4 linked regions of the Lepisosteus oculatus genome follow. The protein of the gene in region 4 interacts with the protein of the main gene of each other region in a biochemical or structural test. Links are inferred from orthologs where the notes say so. Each region holds a gene or a part of one and is shown on either strand. Other genes may lie near its edges. The genes, in order: OTU domain-containing protein 1, cradd, tnfaip3 and ripk1l.

Evidence for each region.
Region 1: of the proteins of ripk1l (region 4) and OTU domain-containing protein 1, one has a biochemical effect on the other in vitro, tested with the Homo sapiens proteins (2 studies listed by BioGRID). The link is inferred for Lepisosteus oculatus from reciprocal best matches to the Homo sapiens genes RIPK1 and OTUD1.
Region 2: the proteins of ripk1l (region 4) and cradd form a complex in vitro, tested with the Homo sapiens proteins (2 studies listed by BioGRID). The link is inferred for Lepisosteus oculatus from reciprocal best matches to the Homo sapiens genes RIPK1 and CRADD.
Region 3: of the proteins of ripk1l (region 4) and tnfaip3, one has a biochemical effect on the other in vitro, tested with the Homo sapiens proteins (2 studies listed by BioGRID). The link is inferred for Lepisosteus oculatus from reciprocal best matches to the Homo sapiens genes RIPK1 and TNFAIP3.

What each region holds. Positions count from the first base shown.
Region 1 is NC_090701.1:54,988,288-54,995,669, reverse strand, and holds the start of OTU domain-containing protein 1, read left to right. Parts: upstream 1-4,375; coding exon 4,376-5,782; 3' UTR 5,783-7,382. Other genes in the region: c6h10orf67 (uncharacterized protein C10orf67 homolog, mitochondrial), read right to left, coding at 923-1,043, 2,139-2,384, 3,928-4,049. UniProt on the Homo sapiens protein: Deubiquitinating enzyme that specifically hydrolyzes 'Lys-63'-linked polyubiquitin to monoubiquitin.
Region 2 is NC_090702.1:40,870,741-40,878,406, reverse strand, and holds the start of cradd (death domain-containing protein CRADD), read right to left. Parts: upstream 3,020-7,666; 5' UTR 2,476-3,019; coding exon 2,169-2,475; intron 1-2,168. UniProt on the Homo sapiens protein: Adapter protein that associates with PIDD1 and the caspase CASP2 to form the PIDDosome, a complex that activates CASP2 and triggers apoptosis.
Region 3 is NC_090712.1:1,532,767-1,539,998, reverse strand, and holds the start of tnfaip3 (tumor necrosis factor alpha-induced protein 3), read left to right. Parts: upstream 1-4,214; 5' UTR 4,215-4,296; intron 4,297-4,838; 5' UTR 4,839-6,051; exon of another isoform or gene 6,052-6,827; intron 6,828-7,232. UniProt on the Homo sapiens protein: Ubiquitin-editing enzyme that contains both ubiquitin ligase and deubiquitinase activities.
Region 4 is NC_090701.1:4,748,206-4,756,090, reverse strand, and holds the start of ripk1l (receptor-interacting serine/threonine-protein kinase 1), read left to right. Parts: upstream 1-4,864; 5' UTR 4,865-5,173; intron 5,174-5,680; exon of another isoform or gene 5,681-6,012; intron 6,013-7,250; 5' UTR 7,251-7,284; coding exon 7,285-7,436; intron 7,437-7,885. UniProt on the Homo sapiens protein: Serine-threonine kinase which is a key regulator of TNF-mediated apoptosis, necroptosis and inflammatory pathways.

The sequences.
Region 1 (7,382 bases), about 50 Mb from region 4:
CTTGTTTTGTCATGCTACTCGTTTTAAAGCACTGCTCAATAATTATGGAAGCACTTTCTTTTACTGAAGCAGGCAATGGCAGTGTCAGTAGTCATTGTTTTGTTGCATCACCAGTACAGACAAGTGAGCCAGTTACACTGCTGGTGTTAAGTGGTGTTGGCAGACCAACAGGTGACACTGTCTCAAGAAACTTTAGGATTAAACACATGATTGCAAATTCAAGGAAAGTCAATTTACCAGTTTCAGACACATAAATAAAACAAAACTTTAACTACACAACTATAATTGACTGCATGAGTCAGTACTCTGAAGAAAATTAAAAATCGCGTAGGCAGGGGCAGAAGAAAACTTAATTCTGAATGTTAATTTTCTCTGCTTGAAAGAAAAAGAGTAGTTATTGTTTTGATGCATCATCAATACAGAGAAGTCAGCCAGTTCCAGAAGCAGCCACGCTGACTTCAATGGCAGTGGAACAGACTACTTCCTTGATCAAGTGACAAATCTGCAGCACCAGTCGTCACAAACAACAAAACCTCAAATTATTATTTTAAGGAAACAAATACGCTATTAACAAACACCATTAGCAACCCAGACACATTGGTGAACCTTTAAATATACTTTTTAAAGTGCACATGACTTTAAATTGCACATGGTGTGGTCTTTCCACAACCTTTGAAGATTGATAACAATATCCTGTTTAATGGACTAAGGGGCACTAGTCATGTAGTAATAATACACGACATTGAAAGATTTTGTTTTAGGATGTGAACTAAATTAGACTGTTTGAAGTACGCCTCATCCATTTCCCCTAACCACATTCTTACATGTCCTTGCAAACATTTTGCTTGCTAGACTACAAGAAAATGTCTTAATAATCATTACTTTACCCTTTTGGTCTCAGCAGTGACGAGCACAGTTTTACCTCGAGTAAAGTACAGGTGACTTCTGACAGCTCCTTCACTCTTGGCAGTTCAATGACATCGGTCTGTGTGGAGGCGTCTCTTCCAAAGTAACCGTATCTCAGTTGATTTCCCAATGAGTACCTTTAAACGCGTGTTGTTAATGAAAAAATAAATACATTAATGTGACAGTTAACACATCTTACAATGTTTGGTGTTTGGAGTAGTGGTCAGGGGAGGGTCAGTGGTCCAGCTCGTAACTGGAAGGTTGACATCCCATTTGACACACTGGTGTTGGACCGAGATATTTCACCTGAGACTCTCCAGCAGAATATCCAGTTATAATAATTATTATAATAATAATAATAATTTCTTACACTTATATAGCGCTTTTCTGGACACTCAAAGCGCTTTACAGGTAATGGGGATCCCCTCCACCACCACCAGTGTGCAGCTCCACCTGGATGATGCGACGGCAGCCATAGTGCGCCAGAACGCTCCCCACACACCAGCTCTCAGTGGGGAGGAGAGCAGAGTGATGAAGTCAATTCATAGATGGGGATTATTAGGAGGCCATGATTAGTAAGGGCCAATGGGAAACTTGCCAGGACACCGGGGTAACGCCCCTACTCTTTTCGAGAAACACCCTGGAATTTTTAAAGACCACAGAGAGTCAGGACCTCGGTTTTACGTCTCATCCGAACGATGGTGCCTGTTTACAGTATAGTGTCCCCATCACTGGGGCATTAGGACCCACATGGACCACAGGGTGAGCACCCCCTGCTGGCCCCACTAACACCTCTTCCAGCAGCAGCCTTAGTTTTTCCCAGGAGGTCTCCCATCCAGGTACTGACCAGGCTCACACCTGCTGAGCTTCAGTGGGCTGCCAGGTGTAAGTTGCAGGGTGATATCTACAACTATCCTACAAAGTTAAAGCCTACACGTTATAAACCTGATGCGATATGTAACCTATCACAGCTATGATACTTGTAGTGCATGGAACAAAAAAATAATCATTTGTATTGCATGTAGGTTTAATATTATTTAAAATATTCTGTTATTAATGTAAAAACCAAATAAAAAATAATCTGAACTGAACCCGAAGGCACAACATCACTTTGCGAGGCGGTAGGGGGGGGTTGTTTTTATTTTAACCCGACTGCCGGCAGAAATAGCGCGGACAACAGAAAAAAAAAGACTGAAACCCATCAAAACCCATTCAGTACCAAAGATTTATACCTCTCGATATCCCGAAGTTCTGAGGAATACAGTCTCTCCTCCTGCTCCTCGGAGTTTCCCTGCACAAGCACGTCCATGTTACCGGCGTGATCGACACGGGGGCGCCGCTTGCGTCGGTTTCCATAGCGACGGATCTCGCCCGCTCGGCGGTCAAGACCCGGATAGAGTTGAAGGAAGCGATGGGCACGGACAGTTTGCCTTATTTCCTTCAGGATTATTATCGGTATAAACACAAGTTTCAAGCTGCTGTTTGTAAAAAAAAACCCCACACCGTCATGTAGTCAGATCAGATCGCTGTACGCTGACCATTTACGTTTGTGCAAAGCCGGTGGTGTTAAGGGAGGAAAGGCGCAGTGTGCTCTTTGACACACTTTCTCATTCGGGCTCCCATTTGGGACTGAAACGGAAAAACCTCTGAGAATAAATGCTTATTTGAAATGCATTAAGGAATAAGGAATACAAATGAACGCGTAAAAAGTTATATAAAAAATAATAAAAACCGTAACATCACTATACTGTACTTGATAGGGATCCCTATGAATAAAAGGGATTTCAGAAATGGGGCAGTCTAGTCAAAAGTGCTAGAAGGTTGTTTGAATAATTCAGTAATAATGAAGCATTTACAATAGGGAATAAAAACCCATCCTTCACAATACAAATGGTATAATATACTCTATTGTTCAGCAGAACTGTGGTGACAGTTTTAAAATGTTTTCTACTTCTGCGCTGCTTCCTTTGTCTAACGAACTCCTGTGAATTTAGAGCATTTTCATAATTAAAATGATAACAACGATTCGACTGACAAAGTGGGTGAAGTTGCTGGCGTTGTTACCTCACAGCCCAGGGCTGCCTGGGGTGCAGTTTGTGGGGAGTCTGTATGTTCTGCCTGTGTGGGTTTTCGCCGGGCGCTCCGTTTTCCTCCCACACTCATGGGGGAACTCGACCCTGCTGTGGGTGTGTGTGTATCTGTGTTTGTGTGTGTGTGCCCTGCAATCGGCTGGCCCAGGCACTGGCGTCACGCCCAGGGTGTTTTATCGCCTTGCGCCCTTTGCTTGCTGAGATCCTAAATTGGATGGAAACGTTAGCAAATTGATGGGTGGACTTAACGAGGTCTTCCCAAAATCCAGCGTGACACCAGTCTTTATTTTGCAAATGCAAAATGAAGCATACTGACTGCAGATGGGCAAGGCATACAGTACCATCCAGCCGACAAGCGCAAGGCTATGGTTTTCGGAAAGTGTTTTACATCACTTGGTACATTCGAAACAAAAAAAAAAGGAAAACTGTCAACATAAAGAACTGCAAAGGGCTGTGTTATAAGGCAATACAGGACCGCACTGTAGTCCTTAGTTTGATCATGACGTGAGCAGATGCTGAATGTCTTCCCTCTGAGACACCCATGAGAAATAATGCGTCACATCCCGTCGCCCATCATCTTCTATAGACGTGTGGATGCACATGCCGTTCAGAGCGAAGATGGCCCATCGGTGACGGCAGTGTCTTTTAAAGCGCGGCTTTAGCCAAAAGGTTGTGGAAACACTACGCGCATTACTATGGCCATGCTCACTACTTCACAAGGGGGGAACGCCCACCCCCGTCAGCGTGGGATATTTTGCCAAAAGGCTGGTGTCAGTCTCTGCGCGCTTCCCCTCCGTGAAGCCCGCAAGCCGGCGTAAATAAAAATAAAAAATAAAAGCCAATAAGATCGCGGTAGAGGCGGAACTTCCTGATTTCCTCCCCCCCCAACACCACCTCCCTTGAGGTCAGCGCAGTGTGTTTAGTAACTTACGCGTAATGGTTTTCCGTCAGTGCTGGCGAGGGTCTGGCATTCCAGCGCACTGACGCCACAGGCTTTAGGGGGGTAAACAGAGCTCCAGCCGAGCGCAGTCCCCAAAGTGTCCCGTGACACATCAAATAGTTCCCATTCCAGCTGCACAGTCAGCAGCCGGGGCAGGCGCCCGGGGGGACTCTGTTATAAGAGGATATGAAGAGAGCCGGGGTCCGGTTACATTGTTCCGGGCTATAATTAGCGGAGCTCAGCGCTGACGCAAGATGGCTAAAGTTGGATCTTCTGTGTGTGACAGCGGGAATTAGGATCAGGAGCGCCGCAGGAATAACTTCACGGCCCGGACTGCGATGAGTGATGACACTGGCTATTTTTGAGCGGCGGGATCATCGCGTGTGGCTACCTGGGACCTCGGCGTTTCATATATAAAGGGTGCGCGGTTGGGAAAAAAATGCAGCTCTACAGCAGCGCGTTGACACATTACCCCGGGTCGTCCTGCAAAGTTTCGATTCCCATTGCAAATATTGACGGTAACGCGCCAGCGACTGCGACTGCAAACACCGTTGCCGCGAGTAACGCTGATTATCAAATTCCTGCACACGGAGTGGAGGAGACGGGGGCTACGACTGCGCCTGCCGCGAAGATGCCTGCCTTTTCCTGTTATGAACCAGTTCCCAGCTCGGCGAGCAAGCCGAGCTACTACACTTCCACCGCTCAGATCCTGGTTACCAAGCCCGGTGGGGTGGAGAGGTTCGTGCCAGTCCAGATTATGAAGGACTCCCGACGTGGCGCAGTAGACCTCTCCGGAACATACTTCGCTAGTCCGGCAAGCTCGCCGGTTCTGGACGCGAAGGGCTCCTGCTCGCCCAGCGCCCTGTGGCTGGGGGACTTAATCGACACGATGAACGGCGAACTGGGCGCGCTGGACGAATACCAGAAGGTCCTGGAGCACAACATGATCAGCTTCGACAGGAAAGCGGACGGAAAGCGTTTCACGAAGGGCAGCGCCCTGAGTGGTCTGGACCACGAGTGGCACCAGAGCGCCTGCTCTCCGGGCGAGGGTCCCCACGACGCCGAGGCGCCCGACACGCTTTTGAACGACAGGGTGTCAAACGCCTGCGAGGATTTGGCGTCTCCAGAAGCTCGGCTTGTTGGCCGGCGTTGCCAGGAGAGCACGGAGCCCGCTGGCACAGACCTTGCCGGGGAAGCGCCAGGCGACAGCCTCCTTCAGCCCTCCGCCCCCGGCGTGGGGGGCAGCCGAGGTGAGAAGAACGAGCAGGTGGCACACTATCTCGCCGAGGTGGAGAAGCAGAACAAGTATCTCCAGGAGAGGGAAAAGTACAGGTTCCACGTCATACCCGACGGGAACTGCCTGTACAGGGCTGTGAGCAAAGCAGTGTACGGCAACCAGTCGGCGCACAAAGAGCTGCGGGAGCAGACGATGCACCACATCGCGGATCACCTGGACGAGTTCTGCCCCATCATCGAAGGCGACGTGGGCGAGTTCTTGATCAACGCCGCCCAGGACGGCGCCTGGGCTGGGTATCCGGAGCTGCTCGCCATGGGCCAGATGCTGAACATCAACATCCACCTCACTACCGGGGGCAGCGTGGAGAGCCCCACCGTGTCCACCATGGTCCACTACCTGGGCGACGAGGACCCCTCTAGGCCGAGCATCTGGCTAAGCTGGCTCAGCAACGGACACTACGACGCCTTATTTGACCGGCCCCTACCCAACCCGGAGTACGAGAGCTGGAGCAGGCAGGCGCAGGTCCAGAGGAAACGGGACGAAGAACTGGCCAAGTCTATGGCGGCGTCTCTGTCCAAAATGTACATCGAGCAGAATGGATCTACGTGACCTGCTCTTAGGGTTCCGAGATGGCGTACCGTACAATTGTGCGTTCTGTCCGAAACCGAAATGTATGTTTCTGAAATAGGGCACCTTAATCACAGTTTGATGGCACTTTAAAACGCATGCAACATGCCGTACAGAAATTGCCTTAATTTATTTTTTTCTAAACCGAATGTTTTTAATGCATTCACGTGGAGCTACTGAAGGTTGCGGTGCACCTGCGTGTTGTATAGATTTTTTTATCATTATTTTTGTATGGAAGTGCTGAATTTATATCCACAGGTCGGATTCCTTACGTTGTGCGTAGAGGTCGCAAAGAAAGAAGTTTACATTACTGTGTTACTAGTACCAGTCCAACTAGAGATAAAGCACAGGACTGAAGTTTGGGAAGAGAAAGAACAGTTTTTTGACAACTTATTTTTCAGGTGTGCGAAATTATATATGTGTACATTTATAAACTTTATACACTTAACCGCTGATTGGTAATTGCGTAATGAGTCTATTTAATTGCCTTTTTGTGTTTTGCTGGGTCGAACACTTGTTTTGCTGCAAGATCATTCTATTCCAGGCTGTTTGCTTGTCTTGAAAGCGCGGTATTTTGTATCGAAGATCTGAATCTTATTTTTTTAAATACTATTTTTTTTCTAAGTAGATTGCTGGATCGGAGACGTACCATTGTAAGACTGAAAGTTTTGTTTCGTGGTTGCATTATCATTTTGAAGTAAAGGTTTAATTTTTCTGGACGATTTAAGGTGTTTCGTTTTTACTATTTGTGCTGTTCATTTTGGGAGGATCGGTTTGTGATGTATTATTTTTAATGATAATAATGGCGGTAGGAGCACTTTCGACACCACCAACGTGAAAGCTGACAGGAATAATGCCAAGGTCATTACAATGTTGTGAAATATTACGAATGAGGTAAAACCAACTATTCCCACACAAGAGAAAATTCCAAATCTTCCACTTACTGATAAATGTCGGTATTGCCAAATATCAGGCTGTGTGGACAAAGCCTACTGTTTTCCAGACGTTGACTTTTATCAGTACTATGTTTTAGTTTTAAAATAGTTATGCATTGCATTTATCAATGAGTGATTATATTGCACCCTGACCTGAATATTGTAACGCAACGGGGGCTCAGGCGGGCGCCCTTGCCGCATCTGGTCGGCCCAAAGTATAGGTGGCTCGAACCCGGGACTTCCGCGTCTCTCTGCAGCGACCCAGCCCCGTGAGCTAAAGAGAGATCTCTCCACAGCCCAGTCGCTGTAGTCCTGCTATCACAGGGAAGGGCGGTGACGTCACCCGCTCTGGTACGCCGGCTCTTACACACAGTGCTTGTCGGCCGTAAGCATTACAATATGAAATCTAAGAACAACCAGCACAAGTTGGTTACCTGTTTTTCTTCTTGCTTTTTTGGTATCATAAAATGAAATTATAATAATAATAACAATAGTTGCTTACACTTATATAGCGCTTTTCTGGACACTCCACTCAAAGCGCTTTACAGGTAATGGGGATCCCCTCCACCACCACCAATGTGCAGCATCCACCTTATTGGAGCCCCCCCTAATTTAACTTCACTTCTATGTTGTGTAGGAGAGAAGGA
Region 2 (7,666 bases), on a different chromosome or scaffold from region 4:
CCCTGATACACCCACCTGCAGAGTCACCTGTCAGCCCCTGTGTTGACAGTACAATCCTATAGTGCCTGACAGGAGAGTCACACTAATTCTATCAAGTAGAGTAGTAGTGATCTGTGGACTGTGGTGCATCTCTTAGTCAGGGGCAAGACCCAAGAATCCCTGTTTGCCGGAAATGCGAGAAAGCACTTCAAGAATTCACCCAACCCTAAACCTGGCAGTGCCCTGCTCATCATATGCTGCTGCTTAGGGAATAGTGACACGAACTACATTCAGACGAGAAATTTTGGCATCATGGTGTCCAACCAGGCATAGTGCGTTTTGTTTTAAATACACTCAATGATAACGACACGCCTACATTTAAGTATGATCACAAAATCTGACATGCAAAAAATGCGAGATCATTAAGATAGAATATCTTTTGTCTCTAAGAACGGACCGAAAACATGAACCGGAAAAGAATAGTCGAACTAAAAAAGTTATTTTTAAAGATAGTACACTACTTTGGAAGTGTAATAAAGTATACGTACATTTCTCTGCTTCTTGGACATGCATGTCATGAAGGGATCCAAATTTAAGCTAAAGCACCCACTTATTCAATCTTCTTTTAGGGGGCCGTTCTCTGAGCCCCCATTAATTTACTTGTTATTTTTTTTTAAATACCATTTGTTATTTATAGAAGTATTCCCTTTATAAAAAGGGTGTTACAGGGGTCAGGGGTAAGCGAGATCATGCTGCCAACACCTGGTCAATGTATACTGCAGTTCTTTGTTTAACAAGGACAGCACTCAAAGGATTGTGACTGCCCTACTTTTTTCTTCCAGAACTCTGACCTAATTTATACAAAAATCTGTGCGCGCAAGACCCTGAATCCTTTCGGTCACACAACCCCAAGCTCCACTTCCTCCCTTAAAACGTAATGGCTGTTGCCAGCGGTAGTGGGAGCCAGCTGTTTACGTTTTTCTCAGTCCTTTTCGATCAATGGGACAGTGCCATTTAGGTTATGGCCAAACAAACAAAACCACTGCTGAAGAGCAGCCCGTTCCATGGTTGGCACCGAAACTTGTTTACTGGAAATGGCATGAATCACCACTGACAGGACACAAACAAAAGCGTTCCCCTGTCGAGGAACTATCAAGGACACCACCACTCTAGATCACTGTTCCAATTCAACAACAAAATATATTAATGATACATCTACACACAGCTCTACTAAAAGCAGTCAGACGTTAGATAAAACTCCTTGTTAAACTTTTTAAGTTCCTGAATAAATTCAATATGATCAGAAAGTTAATTGCCTACGGTGTCACGAGTCCTGTATAATTAGGAAATATGTATTAACTTAAATAAAAACCTGTCAATTTTGTAAACTATACGCATAAAAGGGGTATTTAAAATAGTACACAAGGAATTTAAGTTCCCCAGTGTTTACTAAAAAATGTCCTAATTTAATTAAGATATTGGGTTATTGTACAAAGACAATGAGCAATACATCTTGTTGTAGTAATTGCGGTAATCATAACCTTGAACTCTGGATTTTTAAAATGTCTAAGAATACGTTAGCATCAACCGAGTTCAGTTAAATCCGCAATTTTGTTAAGACATCCCTACAGAAGGAACCGAGTTGCATCGCCAAAACCTGCCGCACGACAATGTGCAAAAGTGCAGATCATCTCAGCGAGAGAATCGACGGATGTTCAGTTCCGTCATTTAAAAGGAATGTGGTTTTGTACCAGGAACGAAAGCAAAGAGGGAAAAAAGGACATTTAAAATGATAAAACAAATTAAAGACAAAATATAAATATGAAAACAAAAATGAAACAATCATATCGAAGAAAACTGGTTTTGACAGCTTTGAAATATATTTGGTATACATCGGCGATGCTTTTTTATGGCCTTGGAACGTATTCATTTCAACTGACCTCTGAACAGATTAACGGAATCTTTTTTGCAACGTTGATTAAATAAAGGGTAATGATTTAAGAAGGTGGTGATGTAAGACAGCTACAAAAGTTGCACCGTTGGACTACTGCTCTGCAACGAAACACATCCGCCCACTATTGATCGAGTATTTTGCTTTTGCTTGTACGTCGGTCTGTTTACCACACATATAACTAAGAAGACTTCACATACGCGTTAATGTGGAGTTTAAATCATGGCACTAGTCTTACCTGTTGAATTTACTTCACTAGTCGCATTCTCTAAATCCTGGAGCAATTTCTCTCTCACCCACGGAAACTCTTCCTTCAGAGACTCCAGAAATGTTTCAAACGCCCTTGGTCCTCTGGTGGGGAGAATCTCCAGCAATGCGAGTGTTTTCTGTTTGTTTGTTATCCGGGATCTTATTTCCTCCACATGGCTTTCTGTTAAAATATTTTCTTGATACAAGTATTGAACTATGGTGGTGTCAATTAATACGAGCTGATTAGAAAGCTCCAATCTGTGCTCTCGAAGAAATTGTTTATGCCTGCGATCCATTCAAGACGTTTATCCGAAAACAAGTCACTATTTCAGGAGTATATCGATGTTTTTAGGCGGCGCTAATTTTCTGTCTACCGCCGTTTTCAAATAAAAACTGGAAGTTTATTTTTTAGTTATCAGTAAGCGCCTACAGTGCCAGTTTCTTCCAAGCACGCCAACTACAATACTTGATTACATCCTCAAAACAAACTTCCAGGTAAAGAAAGCACAAACGGTATGCTTTTATTATGAATTATGAAAAACACGTGACGATATTAAATTCTGAGATTGCCTAATTATCCTTAGGTAAAAATGAATGACAGTGCGTTTGTTCTCCTTACACCACAATACTCTCAACTTTTGTATACAAAAACCCTAGCGTAACAGTTAAATTCCTCCCTACTGAAACTTACACTGATCGGTGAGATTTCTGTACTCATTTTTTAAAAATATTTGAAAACATGTTTCAGTAGAGACCACTTCTTAAGCCACAAAGAGCTATACAGTATATTACATTTCTAAAACTAATTTAAAAATAAGGGCAACCTGTTGTACACTTTTTCGAACGTATTCGTTTAGCTTTTGAGTAAGCATTATTATGACCTTCGGTGATAGTAGCTTCTCTACACTTAGGAAATTTCGAGCTGTTCTGATTTGTCAAACTGCATTTTCGTGTGCAAATAGTATCAGATCATAATGTGTGATTGATATAACATGAGTAGAAAATATGCATCATTTGCAGGTTACAGTAGCAAGCTTATTGTTCCGTCTTTAAAATGTCCAGTGTATTCTTTCTTGTTCAACTGCGTGGGTTAATTACTTTGTGTACTTGTTCTTACAAGTCTTTGTTTTTAAAAATATTTCGTGCGTTGCTGCTTTAAAGAAAGTTTGGGTTTTGTTCTGCGGCAGCCTTGAGCTTTTACAGAGTTTGACAGATCAGGCGGGAAACACATGACGAGGTCTCTGATGGGACCACAATCACTGCTATAAATTTCCACTCTTTAATTGTATTACCGAAGCCCGTTTATTTATAGGCTTCTGAGTAGCTCGGTGACGGGACGAGAAGCTGGTGGGAGCGTATCAGAGTGGGCTCAATATAATAGGTATTAGGCACACACCTGTATCACCTTTTGTATTTTCCTTTTTGATTTTGTCTGATAAAATAGTCTATGCATTGATGCATCTCTTACACCCAGAAACCGCATTACCTTACAGTATATGTCTGTAAATGTAAAAAAGCTGATGTCACATTTAATCATGTCTCACTTTTATCTTACCTGTGGGAAAGACAGATATCAAAGGCATATGAGATACATTGTTGAGTAACCTGGTGGGAGGGTACAGTATGTAATATGATCTGGCTTAGTAGATTTGCCAACCTTTAAAGAACTTGTTACAGATCTGGATTTGCAAGTTAGAAACTTGAGAGTTGTTTTCCTGAAAGGCCTCCAGTGATTTATTGAAGTCTTACAGTGGAAAACAGTCATTCTGATATTTTGGTAAAGAATGCTTTAATTCCCTCTGTGCCTTGAAGTCAGATTTGGTAGTTTTAGAAAAGTAGCCTGAAAAAATCCCATTACAGGGAAACATTTACTAATTCAGGGGGAAATAAAAGCATCTTGGTGAATCTGACAAGTATAACAATCATTTTACACAAGCACCTACAAATACAGACCAATCAAGTCATTTCCATGCAATGTGTCGACAACCTAAACAATATTTTTTAATATGTTTTTGTTACAATACATAAAGCACTGTACAATAATACATGTATCAACCTTGCAAGATAGTACAACATTACAGTAAATAGATCCAATAAAATTATATCCTAAAAGATAAAATAGAAAAATAGGTATTTAAATTAGATTTAAAACAGTTCACAGTTGCAGACTCTGTAATGGATCTGGGCAATAAGTTTCACAATTATGGTAGTGCACATGTGCAGGCTCTCTCACACATTATGTTTACTGGTCTTATGTAAAAAAGACACCTGAATTAGAAGATCTCAGATTAAGAACTGAAATATTCTCAGGCAACATATACTGTACTTTAAATAACCTGGAGTTAGACTGCTAAGTGTCATATGCATAATATGGATAACCTTGAAATCCATTCTAAATTTCAAAGGAAGTGAACAGCTGTGTAGCTCAGGCAGACTAGTTTTATTTAGCACTTAAACCAATGAGCTCTGGATGTACTAAAACTTATTTAGTATCTTAGTTAATACTCCAGTAAGAATCACAATACTGTTTTCTCATCTTGATGGAATAAGGTTTTGTAAAATTCCAGTTTCAGATAGAGCAAAGACATTAACCAGGCAATGTATGCAAACTGAGTTTTTCTTGAGATGTTTATAACATGAGCTTCAAATGACAACATAGGGTCAAAAATAAAACAAAAGTTCAATGAAGGATTTAATTTTAGGATTGTGTACAACTGTGGTTGTTTTTGTTCTTCAGAGTCAATAATAAAATAATTATTATTCCTAAATAATAATTGCTTACACTTATATAGCACTTTTCTTGATACTCCACTCAAAGAGCTTTACAGGTAATAGGGACTCCCCTCCACCACCACCAGTGTGCAGCCCACACCTGGATGATGCGACGGCAGCCATAGTGTGCCAGTACACTCACCACACACCAGCTATCAGTGGGGAGGAGAACAGAGTGATGAAGCAAATGCATAGATGGGGATTATAAGGAGACCATGAATGGTAAATAAACATGACATATAAACATAAATACAAAATTATAAACATAACAATAAACATAATGTATTGTTAGAAATGTCCAAATCACTGTTTAGTTTAAGAAAGTTGTATTGTGTGTTAAACACAATAGTTTAGCTTAAGAAAGTTGCGTAACTTAATATCCGACAGACGAGTATAAAATACAGAAACTGGAGTAGTAGCATCTAATTTAGGAGGAAAATAAATTTGACTATCATGAGTATTATAGTGAAACCCTAGTTCATGATGATGAATAATCTAGCCAAGACATAACCTATGTAAAATAAACAGGAACAGATTAGAGATGGAAATGTTTGGATCATCCAGAATAACATGGACATTAACAGATTTAGAACAGCAAAGGTTTATGAATTGACTCTTGGAGCCAAACCCATGAAGGGGAGTATAAATAATCCCTAAATCATTTTCCATACAATGAAATGGAATGATTGATAACATCAAAACCTACACTTAATTCCAGAAGCAGAAAAATAGTGGTCCAAAGTGAGAATCCATCGGCAACTCCTGAACTACAGTATCTTAACAAGGGCAGTTTGCGGTACTGTATCATTGTCTAAAGTGCAGCTGGAGAGGGTCAAACAACTCACTAAATACAAGATAAAATTGTAATTGTGCTGCAACCACCTGTTTAAGACTATGAGATTTTTTGCAATTTTGGCTTCAGACCAGTTTTCTTCGACACAGTTACTGTCTGATAGCAGGAAGCCTGAAACCTGGTCTTGTACTTGAAGGATTAAAGGTTAAGGATGAGGTTAGTAACCAATGGATAAAGTGGAGAGAATCTAGATTTGAGTAGCTATGTACTGTAGGAACAGTGGCCCAAGGTAGAAGGTCTCAGTTTAGATACAATACCTTCTCAGTCACATGAGACCTACATAAGTAGAAGCAAAAACAGTAAAATGAGATAAGCCCAAACCTGTGAGAGCATTGATTATTAATATTGTGTATTTCATTGTGAAAAATTGCTTTAAAGTATTACGTTGTTCAGTCGGTGTGTAAAAACCAGACATATTAAATTGTAAATTTTAATGAGGTTACAAATAGGAATGTGGGCTTACCATGACCTTTCTCAGTAAGACTTGGAAAGAAAAAGGATCTAGCAGCCTTCAGAGCAAACGTATAGCACAGCTGATGTTGTTCATCAGTCTAAAATGATTTGGTTGGTGCCGCATTTCACTTAGAACAAATCACCTTAAAGATCAATACAATACTCTTGTAATCAGAGCCTCTTAATATAATGGTTGGGGTTTGCAGAAAGCTAATCTTTTGAAGTCGCTTACCATAGAGAGTTTAGGAATAGAGACCATATATGCAGACATTTTGGGAAATTAGCATAGACAGCCCACACACATCCCTTGGGTGAATAGTGGTGACAATGTGATCAAACAGGAACAACATTGCAGCTCTAAGTATTATTATAAACAAACCTGCAACCAGAGACACTTGTGTTGGATATAGACTTTGCAAAATTCCAAGGGTACAAGAGTGGTAAGAACATAAAAGCAAAAGACGCGTTGACAACAACAGGAGGCCATGCAGATTAGATCTCTTATTAAAATCCTTTGCTCTAGACTGGAGAACCTTAGCTCCATTTAAGCTGTCATTCATACCGTTCTTCTATGAGCTCTTTCTAAGATTATATTTTATTTTGTGGAATTGTGTACCAATCTTTTACATTCCACTGTTTAGAAAGGCAGTCATGGATGTTTAGAAAGGAACAGTGTCCTGTATATGATCAGAAGCTCTGTCACCTTGAGACAGGTGAAGAGACTGTGATTATTAGTCAAAAGACAAAATTACAGTGAAAGTGTCGAAAACATATCAGTGCTGCTGAACAGCCAGTCCAAGTTATACATAGTATCCACTACAGCCATCTTGAGTTGGCCGCCATCTGACCAATAAGAAGACGACACCCTACGCTGTCCACAACAGCAGTGCACACCTCAGCAGCAGCAGCAGTCTCTGACAGCAGACAGCGGGTGTTAATTGTTTTTAGTCTTCACGGCCACCTATCCATTTGTAAAACACATTCATTACAAGGCTTATATACTTGCTCTTTTCTCACTGATCAGAAATAATATATTGCTGTTTCCCAACTTTTTGTAGGGTGCAGTAAGGCATGACGGTGCAGTAATTAGCAGTACTGTCTTGCAGCTTTGGGGCCCTGGGTTCAGTTCTGGACTTGGGGTGAATTTTGTATGTTTTCCCTGATGCGAGTGTACATCTGTCTCTGTCTGTGTGTACCCTGCAATGGACTGTTCTTCTGCTTGTTGCTTGCTGGGATAGGCTCTGACTCCCCCATGACCCTGTACTGGATAAGTTAATAAAGCGGTTAATGAATTGCAGTGAAAGTTCCCCTTGCCGGGTATTAAAAGCTTTCTGCTACAGAATGAGTTTAATGCTTGAACAATACCTTTTGTTTTTTATACATAGTTTATTTCCCCACATTTCCTACAG
Region 3 (7,232 bases), on a different chromosome or scaffold from region 4:
TGTGCAGCCCCACCTGGATGATGCGACGGCAGCCATAGTGCGCCAGTACTCTCACCACACATCAGCTCTCAGTGGGGAGGAGAGCAGAGTAATGAAGCCAGTTCAGAGATGGGAATTATTAGGAGGCCATGATTGGTAAGGGATAATGGGAACTTTGGCCAGGACACCAGGGTTACACCCCTACTCTTTTCGAGAAACACCCCAGGATTTTTAATGACCACAGAGAGTCAGGACCTCGGTTTTATGTCTCATCCGAAGGACGGTGCCTGTTTACAGTATAGTGTCCCCGTCACTATACTGGGGCATGAGGACCCACATGGACCGCAGGGTGAGCACCCCCTGCTGGCCCCACTAACACCTCTTCCAGCACCAACCTTAGTTTTCCCCAGGAGGTCTCCCATCCAGGTACTAACCAGGCTCACACCAGCTGAGCTTCAGTGGGGTGCCAGCTGGGAGTTGCAGGGTGATATGGCTGCTGGTTTGTCCTGGATCTCTCATGGATAGTGTTCAGCTTGAATTATTTAGAGAATGAATTAGCGGGAAGGGAAATCCCTGACATTCAAATACGGTGCAAGAAAGGGAGCAATCAGCACTGCAGAGAGCCCCCAAGGAAATGGTTTCTCTATTCAGAAGCAGTAAAAGCAGGACGGTGATGCAATGATAAGGGGAACAGAAGAAACCACAGAGAAAGAGGAAATAGAGTTGATAGTACCTTCTAATAGCTGCGTCTAAGTGTGATTGCATACTACATCTCACAATGGCTTAAGATAGCATCACCACATCCCTTTAGATATGCCTTAGATAACAGCATAGGTGCATAAACGAGTTCAGTGTCTCACCTTGAGAAACCCAGGAATAACGTACGTTTTTATTCACATAATTTACTTTTCCTCCCTGTCATTAATGTTTTCTGTCTTCTTTCACTTCCTTTAAAAACTCAAACTCCACTCTACCTGTGAATCAGAATGCCGGGGACAGTTGTGTCAAAGTCCCTGCCATTCAGTGTACGAGGCTGAATTGCAGGCAGGCAGGCAGCTGCAGGAAATCCCCAGAACAGCGCTTTGCAATGCCTGAGGTGCTGAGGCTTCTCTGGAGTAGGTGCTGTGCTTTTTGTGCCATTGGGTTCTGGTTTGTTTGAAGAAATGAAGAAAGTCAGTTTGTGGGCCCTACTTCTGCTGCTCTTTCAACAGTAAAATACTCTTACAGCACCCATTCTGTTGAAAGGCACACTAATGTCACTGACAAGTACACTGACCTCTACTGACTGAAGAAATCTTCAGCACATGGGTATCGTGCACTCATACTGCATATTTACTGCATACCCTAACACCTGAAGAAGGCACCACAGCCGAAACGTTGTGTTTTCTTTCTTCTTTTTTTCCAGCATGGAATAAACCTATTACTTGTTCCTTTGCAGCCTACGCATGCTGACGCAGCTCCCCACCTGAACTACTACTGCATATAGTGGCTATTGTATTGGTGGGTAAGTGACTACTATAGGCAAATACTACAGGAGCAACAACTGACATGCAAAAAGATGACATTCAAGACTGGTCAGACACCTGGCACAAGACATTTAACACAGAGAAGTATAGGGTATTAAAAGCAGGAAGCAGAAACATAAACTACAAACATAAAGTGAGAAATACTGAGCTGAAGGGGCTTCTTATGACAAAGACTGAGGTATTTATGTTGACACATAATTTGCATCTTCTCTTGACAATGTGGGGAAGCTGTAGAAACAGCAAGCAAAACACTAGGATACGTTCAAGTGTTAAAAGTGGAGAATTTAAATCAAAGACTGTTTGGTTGAGTCTGGAGCTGCAATCCAGTCTGTAATCAGTCCATTGAAGAGCAACACCAGATACATTCAAGGGCATTCAAGGAAGCTGAACATTTTTGGCATTGAAAGAAGACTGCAGATTCCAGACCTCATCTGCAAGGTTGAGAGATGTGTGCAGACAAGGCCATATGTGGAGTTACAAGATCTTATGACAAGCATTGTGAATTTTATATCTTAGACATATTTGTTTTTTGTAGACACAAAAATCTTTACAACCCTTTTAAATGTCAATTTTATTCATTAATCATTCATGAACCATGATTATGTTGTAGCCCCTGAGGTGGATATTCAGTCAATGTTTATCTATAAAATATGCAAGATAAAGATGTCAAACAAGACAAATGTTTTTCAATTTGATGGAATTTTTCCTATCTGATGAAAATGCCTATGCATATTATAAGCAAAAACAAAAATACATTTTATAAGGGAGATACAGGGACAGCACACAATTGTAATTTAACATTATTTCCTTTTTGTTGACTTTCATGACAAAGACTGAACTATTCGCTTAGTGTTGCTCAGAGGAATAAATAGTTCAAAGCCCAGAATCTTCATTTCCTGTCACCACCTTGCTTTGTCTAACTTTAAAATGAAAATGGAACAATACTGATGCGATAGCAACGTGACAAGGGAAGTTTCAGTCAGCCTGTACCTTTGAAGTCCCTGCCCTAACTTCTCACCACAATTCCTTCCACCTTTCACAATGTTTTGTAAGCAGGTATGCAACACTTTCCACTCACAAAGCCAGTCAAATAGATGCACTACAGATGTACTGTTTGCAGCCAGATATTAATTTATTTCCAGAATCCAGGGAAACTAACACCTCCTGTGTGGTAGCTGAGGTCTGGAGTCACTGTAATTGGCTGATGTAAGTGTGGATCTGGCTTTGATTATAAGATAGGTTACAAAGGAGAAGAGCCCATTTAGATTGCTTGGACACTTTGCAGAAGTGGGAGTATACAAAACTTTCTTGATGTTACACAGCCATTGGTCTAGGGGAGAAGAACATTATTCAGTACATTAGTCATCATTCAGAAATCCGTCTGTTTTTTTTTATCCCGCGTTTCCGATGACTTCCTGACCCTGTCCCAGCAGCGCAGCAGGAGTCGGCTCAGGGCAACGGCATGCCTCCCTGCGCACACTGCGTGTGGGGGTGTGTCCAAGCATCCAGGCCCACCCAGGGTGTTGGGAGAGCCCACGCCCCCCACACCCAGTGAATCATTGCTGAACTCCCGTTGGACAGCTGTGAGCAACCCTTGATTACGAAGTTGTTGTGGGAAATTGTTCATCAAAGGAGCAGGATGTTCATCAAAGGAGCAGGACGCAGTCCAGTGCAGATTCAGTTTTTTAGAGCTCAATAATGTCGAAGAAAACTCAGTCTTCACTCAGGTTAGGAGATTGTCAAACACAGATCTTTAATACAATCAGCTGAAGGGGAGCATATCACAGAGAAAGGGTTCCCCCTAGCACTCAAGACATGCTCACTTTACTGAAGTTATACTTTCCTTTTTATACATTAAAAGTAGGCAAGACTTTAACATATCAAAGGAACATACAGGGAAAGGGGCAGTGTCAGAAGTCAAACAACCAGGACAGGAAGATGGCATTTGGCATCCTGCAGTCTGTTTCACTTCTCTCTGGTTGAATGGGTGTGAGGAATCACAGGCTTTAGTTTGCACCTAAGACAGTGGTCTTAGGTGCGAACAGAAAACCTTTCCCACGCATAGTCACTGTCTTGACTTTCTGACTCGGTCTTCCACAATAAGGACAGCAACACAATCGTTGGGTCTGCAGTGCAAAACAGACCTGTCCTTTAATAAATAGTTTATGTTGAACTACTTTGTCCTGTCCTTTGATATCCAGCAGGCATTGATCTGCTTTATCCTGTTTATGGTACGTTTATGGCTGTTGGTCCTGCATTTTGTTATGCTTTGTTATGCAGCGCAAGTTGCTCAAGCAAGCCAGCTTTATTGTATCTTAGCATAACCTTTGGTGAAGGCTAAATTAACAGATCCCAGCAATACTTTCCATGGTGTGGTTAAGTAGTAATACTGCAATGGTGGATACATGTACGTGCAATATTAACATGTCCCACTTTACATTGATTTGTGATGTTGAGCCTGAGGCAGCACAGCTCCTGTTCCTCTGCAGGGACACCAATAAACACCCGAAGGGACTGAGTTCAGGCTTCATTGTTGCCTGGCTACGGTCTTGGGATGAAACACGTTGTAAGAGCACCGCCCCAGCAGGGACCACATTCCGCAGACCCCTCTGGGGAAGGGGCTGCTCGCACAGTCACCTGACCAGCCGCAGGAAGGCAGGTGACTACAAAACAGGAACAGGAAGCTCTCGGAGGCTGTCTGTGGGCGTGGCTGTCTGCTGCTCCAGGACAGCCCCTGCGCGTACTGTACGTCTCGCCAGCGGAAGGACCGAGCAGGGAGCAGAGCGACTTTGTGAGTTCAGGGAAACGAAACCGAATTTTGTGGATTTTTGGAAATTTTGTGTAGAGTGTTGGAGGGACCGTGTTTGAGAATTTTCTGTGTTAGTGGCCGGTCAGCAGTGTAGCTGCTCGGCTTATATTAGACGGGGGCTTCATGAAGAATTTTAAGCAGAAGCTCGATGAAGAGCTGAGACTGTTTTGCTTTTGTTTTTAGGTGATGGTGTTAGGCGTTTCCCCGCCTCGTAAAATAAATTGCAACTCGGGCCTTTAAACGTTACAGCTGGGTGTTTTTGTGTGTTTTGTTGGCCTGAACCTGCCTGTGTTGAAAGATCGCGTTTTAAACAGTCACACCCCTGGTTATGTCACATTGCAACAGAAAGAAACTGCCACACAGCTCCTACAGAGACACTTTACCTCGGCGAACAGGTTGCTGATTTTTTCTCTCTCGGAATAGAATTTGTTTTAAAATTAAAATGATCATTTCATGGAAAAAAAAAAGTTGTTTTGTTGTTTTGTTGTGTAAGCTTCTGCCTGACTGAAATCTTCTTTTTATAGAAACTTTCCACAAATCAAGAACAAAGCAGAATTCTCCCCCTGGCAGTCCCTTAAATCATGGCATTATTTCTGCCAGAAAAACACAACCCCAAACCCACAGGAGAAAGGGAAAGTACTTTTAAAACTGAGGAAAGAATGCCGTTCTTTACACTAAGGGTGGTGAGGGTCTGGAACAAGATGTCTATTAGCTCTTTTGTTGAATCTTGATGTCCTGGCTTCTGTAAAAAAATGGTGGATTGAGATTCTCAGATCATTAAATCAATTAGATCAATTCAGATCAATTAGATACTAAAGAACTAGACATGCCTTATGGCCTATTCTCATTGTTTTCTTATGTTCAAGTCTAGCTATTAGAATGCAAACCCAAAAGGGAGATAAGGATTCTCTCTGTGTTACACAATATCCTGTGTGAGGTGTGAAAGTGGCTGGAGATGAGTTCATCAACACTCACAGCAGGCACAAGGGCCTCTGTCCACAAGGTGCTTTTCCTCTGATCATCACTCCTCGGAGATCAAGTGACCATCTGCTAGGAGGAGCTCAGTGAGCCCTCCAGGCATTGAAGAAGACTGAAGCTGAACCCGAAAGAGAGAACAGGGGGCCTGGCTGTTTTCAAAAACTGGAGGAAGTTCACTGGCACTTTATTGACTTCAAGCTTCTCCTTCAGATGGGGGCTGTGGAGTAACACTCATCCCCCGCAGAGTCTGAAAGACCCTGACACATTTCATCTTCAGTCTGGGACGTCCCTTTCTGTACAGATCATAAAATAATTTCCCTCAGCCTAACTCCTGAAAGCACCACACTGCAGAAGCGCATGCTCGCCACTCTGGTGCAGCAAGACAGAAATACAACTCCAGATCTCCCCAAAAACGCAGTGTGTTTTTTTTCTGGTATTTACGCCAGAGTGTGGAGGCCTACTGGATTTTTTTTTTTAAAGCTCGGGTATTTACAAGGATGTCTGAATCCGCCTGGCAGAATCCTGGTGACTAGCCAGCCAGTAGGAGTCGCGTCTGGGAGGAGACAGATTGAGTGATGTCCTGAGGGCTTGTGGGTTCTGCCTTCTGATGCCCTCCCCCGCTTCTAAAGGAGCAGAACAAGTTGCTGATACTGATCTAATAGTACAGTATGCGTGTGTGATCAGCTGTCTTTTTCGTTACCTTTCACTGCTGCCAAATTCGTACACGCTCACCCGAAGTAAAAGTGAAATATACAGTTTGTACGTATTACCCTTCTGAATATACAAATGTTGCTTGACTTCTGTTTTAAGGAAGACCGTTGGATGGATAGGAACACTTTTGCCGGGAAAATGTCATTTTGTTTTTGTGCTTTACAAAGCAAGCGGTCTTTTAATGCCTAGAATATCAGGGTGCTAAAATATTTGACTTTTTTATAAAACATCAAACTTTCAAAGGGAAAAGACACCATTAGTGGGGTTTTTTCCTTTACAGATACATTACGCATGCAGTTTATACTATTAAGAATAATGTGTTTTTCTTTACCGCTGGGCGATACTTTAGGTCATAACATTCCCTTAAAAATGAGCAGGGACTTCAAGATCTGAGATCATGCGTTGGTCTATGAATGGTCTGATCGTGTCCTTATGTAAGGTTTCTTTATGACAACAGACCAGCTTTCCAGAGTGTCTGTCTCTTTCTCCCCCTAGCGTTCGATGAGCGTATTTTAGTACCTCTAAAATTGTGCAAGCTTAAGTGGAAAGTCCCTCATACTGGAAATCCCCACCCGGGCTTTTCCATGTGAAAAAAAAAAGTCTCTAACTTATCTAGAGGTCGTTTTTTTTTCTTGTTTAGTTGACAAGTCTCTAGCCTGAGTGAGTGGAGCCTGAACCAAGAAGCAATCATACTACCCAAGGGATATGAAGGTTTAATGGCGTTTGGGACTGTGGGTTATACAGTCTAGAGCTTGGGGTTCAGGGTTACCTTTTTGTACAGTACAGCATCGAGGAGTTTTGTCTGTCCTAGATACATTGTAAAGGTAAGTTTTGGTAGCTTTTAAAATATTCTGTTCCAGTTCATTCGTTCGTTGCCGTTGAAACTGCGCTCTTGGTCGCGGTTACTTGTGTTAATGGTGTTAAGTGTTGTCAGTCCGGCACAGTTCTTATCCATATATGTGAATGTTTGTCTGATTTTTTTAAACGCACCGGAGCGATAACGCCAGTTCTGTTCACAAACTTCAGTCTGCAGTTAAACCCCAGACACGAGTGCGTTTTATGAAAGACGTGGTCTGTGAACCGGGCTGTAAGGGAAGATTGCTACAATTGCATTTTTATATATAACCCTTATAGGATCATGTAGATCAGTGCGTTTCCACGCGTGCACATCGTGCGGCACACTTTCTGGTGCCTGCTGTCACTAGTTCAGAACCGATTGCTATAACCAT
Region 4 (7,885 bases):
TCACTGAGTTACAGGACCATCACTATTCATTCACGGCATGGATCAGACGTCTCCATACAGCCTGCATCAGTTCACCCCAGGTATCCCTTTAAAAAGCTCAGAGAAATCAGTGAGATGTTTGTGTACCTGCCACCCCTTTCTTGTATCTCAGACAAGTTTAGAATTAGCAAAGTCACTGAATCTGTGAAGGGAGAAGTGAGAATATTTCAGACGCATGACATAATTCCTGCACAGTCAACATGCGGAGCATTCAGATTTGAGTGGGCTATGGGGTCTTCTGAACTGTACACTCAACACAAGACGCAAAATTTAGAAAAAGACTACATGAATCAAAAGCTTTAGTGGGCATGATTCTATTTGTTATTGGACATAAAAAGGCGATATATTCTACTTATTCAAAACATAAATACCAATCTCAAGTTCCATGTAATTGTTTGATTACAAGACTCAATAAGAAAAAGCGTTTTGATCAGATTTTTGGGCCCCATTTAATTTCCAGGTATCTAAATTTTGCTCTTCACGGTTTCAGAAAAACCGCTGCGATAAATCACAAAGAGAACGACAACATAAACAGTGTGGTCTGGATTGACGCAATCGCCAGTCCGCAGCTCTTTGGCACCGAAGAAGGTCACGAAAAGTTAACAGGAAAACCCCAGAATGCTCCTTCATACGGCGCGGAGCGTGCTGAATCATGAACGGGACGAGATATAGGGGATTTTCGAGATGCTCTGCGCAGCGCTGTGGGCGTCCGACAGGAAATGGTAGGGAGGCGGGGGGGGCATGAGACTGCTGCAGCTGTACATTGAGGAAATGGTTCTGAGATGCAAAAAGGGGTTGGTGTGGCGGAGGATATGGAAGAATGAGGTGCCCCGCGCCGAGGAAAACAGACTTGTTTTCTAACGTGGGTGTCTCTGTGTGGAGGGTGGGGGTATCCCACTGCTAGTGAAAACAACAATGCAGGAGGGACGGTTACGACAGTCACGTTTGTTCAAAGTGGACAGGTGAAACTGGAGGCCTTCGTTAATTATATTCCGCGGCATAAGAGAGCAGTGGAAAAATCACGGCATCACCTGATATCACCTACCATTCTGCCTGGCCCTGGAAGACTTGCATAATTCTGCAGCTCACTGTCATGAACAACTCTGTGGAAGAAGAAATGGAAAACATTGGAAAGCAGTGCAAAGGCAGCAGGTGTGCCGAAAGCACGGCCGTTATTTATATTAATGGCCACACAGTGCATTTTGAAACTAAAGTTTTGAATGATGAAAAGACGTTAGATAAACAAGGTATTGCTGATGGTGACTTTTCATTTTTATTTTCATTAATGTTTTTAACTGTTTTCTAGAAAGGAAACAACGCCCTGATAAAGAAATGGCTGTAAACCTCAAAGGAGTGTAACAGTGGGGACAGAGATTAACTCATATTCTCACACCTGACTGCTGCATCTTCCGTTTCCAATCATTTTAACTCTCGAATTTCCTCTGAAAAGAACTGTGCAAACACGTTATATGTACTGTGTCAGTTATATGTATACTACATGCATCGAAGTTTCTTTATCATCCAGGTATTAAAATTGTTGCTGAACCCTGGAAAGCATAATCCTCTGGAAACAATCCTTCTGCGACTGGAGAACGTCTTCCTGGTGTATTGTAATACAAATATATTGCATCTATCATGTACAGTACCTCATGGTACCACAGCGTTTCATATAAAGAGCATTTGGAATACTATACACAGAAAATTTCAATTGCTCTGATGCAAATTAAACTGCTCTGATGGCATCACTACAACAGCTGTCAAAAAATAGTTAAAAACTAAACGACGACACCCCTACAGAAAAGTTTAGAACATAACAACTTAAGAAAAATTGCAAACAAGATGACATTTGCTCTTGTTGCAGGTTTGTTTTGGTTTTTTTTTGCGATCTAAGTGTCGCATAGCGTCTTTCAGGACACTATGCAGACAGCCCAACCCGGAAGGGAGCGAACAGACACGGGGAGGAGACGAGGAACAGGGCTGGTAGACTAACAGGGGGGCGTGGCGAAGGTGCTCGAGGGGGCGTGGTCCGGGTAAACAGCCCAAAGGGTGTTCGTAGGGAAAGTTGCACCAAACCCCCTTTTAAATAAGCAGAAATGTATAAATATGTTAGATTTTCTGTAGTATTTTTATATGCAGACCTTCATTTGTATTGTCAGAGAAATAAGCTTTGATGACATGTATGTAGAAATAATTATTTTCAGATCCAGTACGTCCACGTCTTTTTTGTGAACTTAAGAATCTTAGCCACAAGAGGGCGACAGTGCCAATAATTCGTTTGGAAGATGAAAAACAGGTATTCGGGTACACTATATTCTGAATACAGAATATAAAACTAGAATCATTAACAGGAACAATAAAACTGATTTAATAAGCAGCATCTAACGATTCTGCTCCATAAATAATCCATTCCTTAAAGACTTTTCTTGTAGGGGTACAGCCGCGTCACCCAGATCTGACGTGAATCACACTCCTAGAAAAAGCATGGCAGCCGTTGTGCGCCAGCAATCTTTCAATTAAGCAATATTTCAGTTCAGGTAGGTCTGATTGTGTAAGATGAAAGTCCTCATCCTCAGGACATTCTACTCTTACAGATCCAGGGAGTTTGAATGAACTTTTCAATAATAATAATCCCTTACACTTATATAATGCTTTTCTGGACACTCCACTCAAAATTCTTTACAGGTAACGGGGATGATGCGACGGCAGCCATAGTGCGCCAGTACGCTCCCCACACACCAGCTATCAGTGGGGAGGAGAATAGAGTGATGAAGCCAAATAATAATACTGATATGTAGTTAGTTGTAACAGGTAGTAAACATAGTTAGCCATGTGTTTTGTTTAATTTAGTTATAGTGTTTTTACGTGACATGCGTCATGTCATGCGTAGTAAGGCTGTTGTGCGTCATTCCTGTTCCGGTAAGGCGGGAGAAAGCAGTATGGCGTAAGACCCAACAGCCTTGCTTTGCTGCTGGTGTCTTGGCTGTATGAACGTCTGCCTATACCTCTTGCTGGACCTCGTCGTCTTCGTTAAAACCCACGTTTACAATGCTACGACCTGTAGCACTGTTCCCCCAATCAACAGGCTAAGGTGTCGCGTTTGGGTATTCTGGTCAAGGGTAACACCTGCTTGATCACCCTGGAGACTCCCCACACCAGTACTGAGCAGGATCAGTGTGCCTAGCTTTATCTGACCAGATCTGCTCAAAGCCAGCTAGAAGATAGTAACCAAATACACAATACAAATGTCAATAGAAGCAGTTCGTGGCATGATACATAACATTAAGTCTCAGTTAAAAAAAAATATTGCAATACGGTGTGTGATCCATAACTTTTCAGTTAGATACCTTAAAAAAAACAGATATTTCCTTCAGCTGTCTTCTTCAGCTAAACGTTCACCCATTTCTTGCTGTTATTTTGTATTTTAATCAGAATTTGTTTTGGAAAGAATGACAACTTCAGAAGTGTAGTTATCTGAATAGCGTTTGGAGCCGAATTCACTAGGTGGTGCTATAAATCAAACAAGTGTATTCCCTCCTCAAAATTCAAACTGCGTTTTACCAACGAAGATTCTTTTTTACTGCTTTGGCATTCCTCTTTGTAAGTGTACCTTTTCTTGAATAGTTATTTGTATAAGTCCCTCTTTGTAAAATTGTGCTTATTCTTGAAGTTTTTTGTATTAGTAAATCTTATTTTGTTCGTCAAAAGGTATTCGCTCAGCTTTTTGAATGGCAACTCTTAAAAGGCTACAAAAAGGTGATCATGTCCAAACAGATACTTTAATAATTAAAGTTTATTTCGTTAATTCTTCTCAGAGATGGAGTGTGTAAACAGTGGACTCTCCGCCCATCGAGGAAATGGAGTTGCCCATTTCTACTCAACTGATTTTTTTTTCTTGCTGTAATCTTATCAAACATTAAAGTACAAATTCTTCCTCAAACCCTCACTGTACCAGTCTATTATTGTTCGGGCTTTGTAGGACACTTTCGGCCGAACCCTGCGCGACAAAAACAAATCGGTGTTCCCCAGCTCCCTTCCTTACAAAGTCCTTCGTGGATGTCTTTTTTTTAAATCCACACAATCTTCCAAAATGTAATCTTGGTAAAAACATCAAGAGAATAATACAAGAAGATAAAACAGCATGTCGCACTATAACCATGACTACACAAGACAAAACAAAAATAACGGTGAATTCCAGACTGCTACAGTATACAGGTCTAATAAGAATATCTTAAACTCTAATATTTATACTGAATATTAGAATACTAATTTTCTAAATGCTATGAATATGAATACATGAGATGTTGTGAATATGAATACATAAATTAATCTGTATTGTTGACATAAGTTCGTGCTTTTTATATACAGTATATTTGAAAAAGACAGGTGTGGTGACGGCTGTTGGTTAGCCGTGGTCACGTACAGTACAGTGTGCGGCCGAGATGTTTTCTCCCAGAACAGAGACTCCACATTTTGGAGGGCTGTGCGCCAGCGAGCTCTGAAAAGCTTCAGAATCGCGATTCACTGCTTCCTTTTTGAAACCGTAGACATCGGTGAAGAGAAAACACTCTTTTTCACACCTTTTTACCGTCACACCACGGATCTTGGGTGGGAAAAAAGGGCGAGCCTGCAGTTCCATTCAGTTTTTCATCAAAATACAGCTCTCCCACCCTCCGCAGCAGGCGCAAGGAGAAGAAGCAAACCATCAATATTCTCAGACTGTTTATTGTTTATTCGCTGGGAATGCACCATTCAGTTAACAGTATACCCCTACTTTCTCAACATATCAGTTTATTATAATTATTAAAGTATATTAATATAAGCATATTAAACACCGTCTCGGGCAATCCAGGGAACTTGCGAAGGGCTATACATTTTTCCCAGCCCCTTTCTGAGGTCTCCGGGAAACGTCATTAGTTAAACTCAGACGGCTCATACAGTCTCGGCGCCGCAGTCTTCTCAGGAATTTTATTTGATCGATTTTCACGTCTCGCCTCCCGTTCCTGAGAGCTTGTTGTGACAGCGTGGACGTGGACTGCGCTCTGGTCCGCTCGACAAAGGAAGGGCGCCGCCCTGCGGCCGTGGGGTGGTCTGTCTCACACCTGGCTGCCAGCCCCGGACACATTGTAGCCAGGCGGTAGGTTTAGCGCCGTGTTTCGCAATGCTGACCGGTCCTTGACACAACCTTAAATAACTTTACCTATTAAATTGTATTCCTTCCAAAGCAGGATGGCCTTAAAACAGCTGGTTCTTGTTACAGAAAAAAAAAGGTTTGTGCTTTCAACCCCTCTCGATCTCAGACACGGAATTGGACCTTGCCTCCAGCTCCACCCACGCGTGTTTGCCGGGAGCGTGGAACCGTTTTGCACGACATCTTCACACACACACAGCCAATATCACATCTGCCTCCATAAGTTATTATTTATTTTCTTTTTGTGTTACTTTACATATTCTTGGTTACCTTTATATTATATACATGCATACCTGTATACTTCTACGCTTATATATCCTCTATTTTACCGGCACTCATGAGGTTTATTAGTGCTTTGTCGCTGTCGTTATTAGTATCAGTACTATTAAAAGGCTAAAAAATAGGTAAACCGACATCATATCCAAACAGATACTTTTAATTCGGTGATTATGCTGGGAGATGGAGTATAAACAGTGGACTCTCTGATCATCGCGGAAACAGAGCTGTATTTTCCTGCTGTAATCTTATCCATCTTTAAAGTACAGTTCTTCCTCAAACCCTCAGTTTGCCAGTCTATTGTTCGGGCTCTGTAGGACGCTTCAGTATTGCTGGGTCATGCAAAAGAGAGTGGAGATCGGTTGCTCGGTGTCGATTGTTAGTGTCTGAGGAATCGACACCAGTGGGTTTTCCCTCTTGCTCTTGGGTTTCGTTTTGTCTGATCCCAGACCCGAATATTGAACAGGAAGTCTGAAAAGGTGCTTTAAACGACGGGGGAATGCGTAAAAGTAAGTGAAACTCTCGTAAATGGTCTTTTTCCGATTAATCGTCCTCTGCAGAGTAAGAGTTTTTTTTTTTTGTAAAGAAAAATAGTTTTGCTTTTAACCCTTTTTGTATGATGTAGGAACTAAGGTATTCCGTTTCAAATAAAACGCTAATAATAATGATGTCTTTTTCCGGGGGATGTAGGAACGGTTTTGTCTCATCTGTAGGCTGGGCATTTTGTGAACTGGACGTGTCAACGATAGATGTATCGACTGGTTTGACAGTAGTATTGGTTTTGAATACCTGTCCGGTATTTAACGCTTTCTAAATATGCTAGTCTTTTTAAAGGTAAAATATACTTAATAATGCCGATATTATTATGTGAATATTCACAGCCTTTTCTATAGGTTGTAGGCACTTTTCTGCTTCGTCAAACTTTCCTGGTTTGTTCTCTGCGAATACGCAAAAAGTTTTTCCTCTTGCAAAGGAATATTAGAAATAGACAAAAGTTAAGAACAAATACTCGATTACAAATATCTCCCATACGTACGTATGTTTCGTTTCCAAACTGTATTTAACAAATTTAATGTTTTCTTAAATAGTGTGGTTTTACCATGGATAGCGCATAGTGCCCTTATTTTTGCAGTTGTACGTCATAGCAAAGGAGGGACATTTTAACAAGATTAACGACTTTTAGATTCTATTTCATAACTAATAAGATTAATTAAGACCTAAGGGGGAGGTTGTGTAACCCAGAAACGAAAAAACTGAACCCGATCACGCATACCAAAGTATGAAGAGCGCACCTCCCATTTTCAAAGGAGCAGTATGTCTTTCATTGAGACAATTCACACATGGCAAATTTGCAGACGTACATTCGCAACCTCCCAGGTATTCTTGCTCAGCCCATCTGATTTGCTGTAGCCAGTTGTGTGTTTGTCCTGGCTTGGCTGGCAGCTATATGGTATGTGGCAAGTCATCGATTTCAGCTGAAGCTAAACGTATTGGAAAGCTTGCATGAGCATGAAGAAAGAACTGTTCAGACGGTTCTTCCGAGTGCTCGGCGAAGCCTGGAGGGATCGAATTGGGAAGGTTACGTGGGTAGCATTGTGATTGCTGTGTGGTGACAGGAGGGCGCGAAGCACTTGGAATTGAGGGCAAAAGCAGACACGTGTACTGTAACTGCGTTGTGTACTAGGCTGTTGCACGTTACACCGTGTTACTGTCGTACTGAGGCCTCTGCCACGTTGTTTCTCCGCAGGCTGTCTGTAGAGCAGCTTCTGGAGAGCGGAGCCATGGCTCTGGAGTCCATCCGTATGAGCTCCACGGACCTCATCAAGAAGGAACCCCTGGACTATGGCGGCTTCGGCCAAGTCTTCCTGTGCTACCATCAGAGCCATGCTCTGGTGGTCTTGAAAACAGTTTACACCGGGCCACCACGCAATGAGTAAGTCAGACTCGGCAGTGTTTTAAAGGTGGCTGTTCAGGATCTGTTATTCTCTGTGGACCTCTTTCACTGGTGTTGGAGAAGCTGGCCAGGATGATGGACGAATCGGAATAGAACAACATCTTGTTTTCTTAGGATAACAAGATACCTTTAGCTTGCACTGAGGTGGACGCTTACATTTTTGGGGTTCAAAACTTTGAATGCCAAAATCTGAAATGCAGTTCCCCGTGTCAGTAGGGTGTCGTCTGTGTATTGTCAGCTGGGTGCAGGGCTTCAGTTTTGACCAATAAAAAAGCTTGCAGGCCCCACCTGGATAGCTATTGTAACAGTTAAAATGTGAAACCAATGGCTTTGCTCTGATTGAAATGGATTGAAACTGCACTCTAAGCAAGATTGCAAGATTTTGCAAAAGTAGATGGCAATTTTAAAAATAAACAGAAAATGTCCTA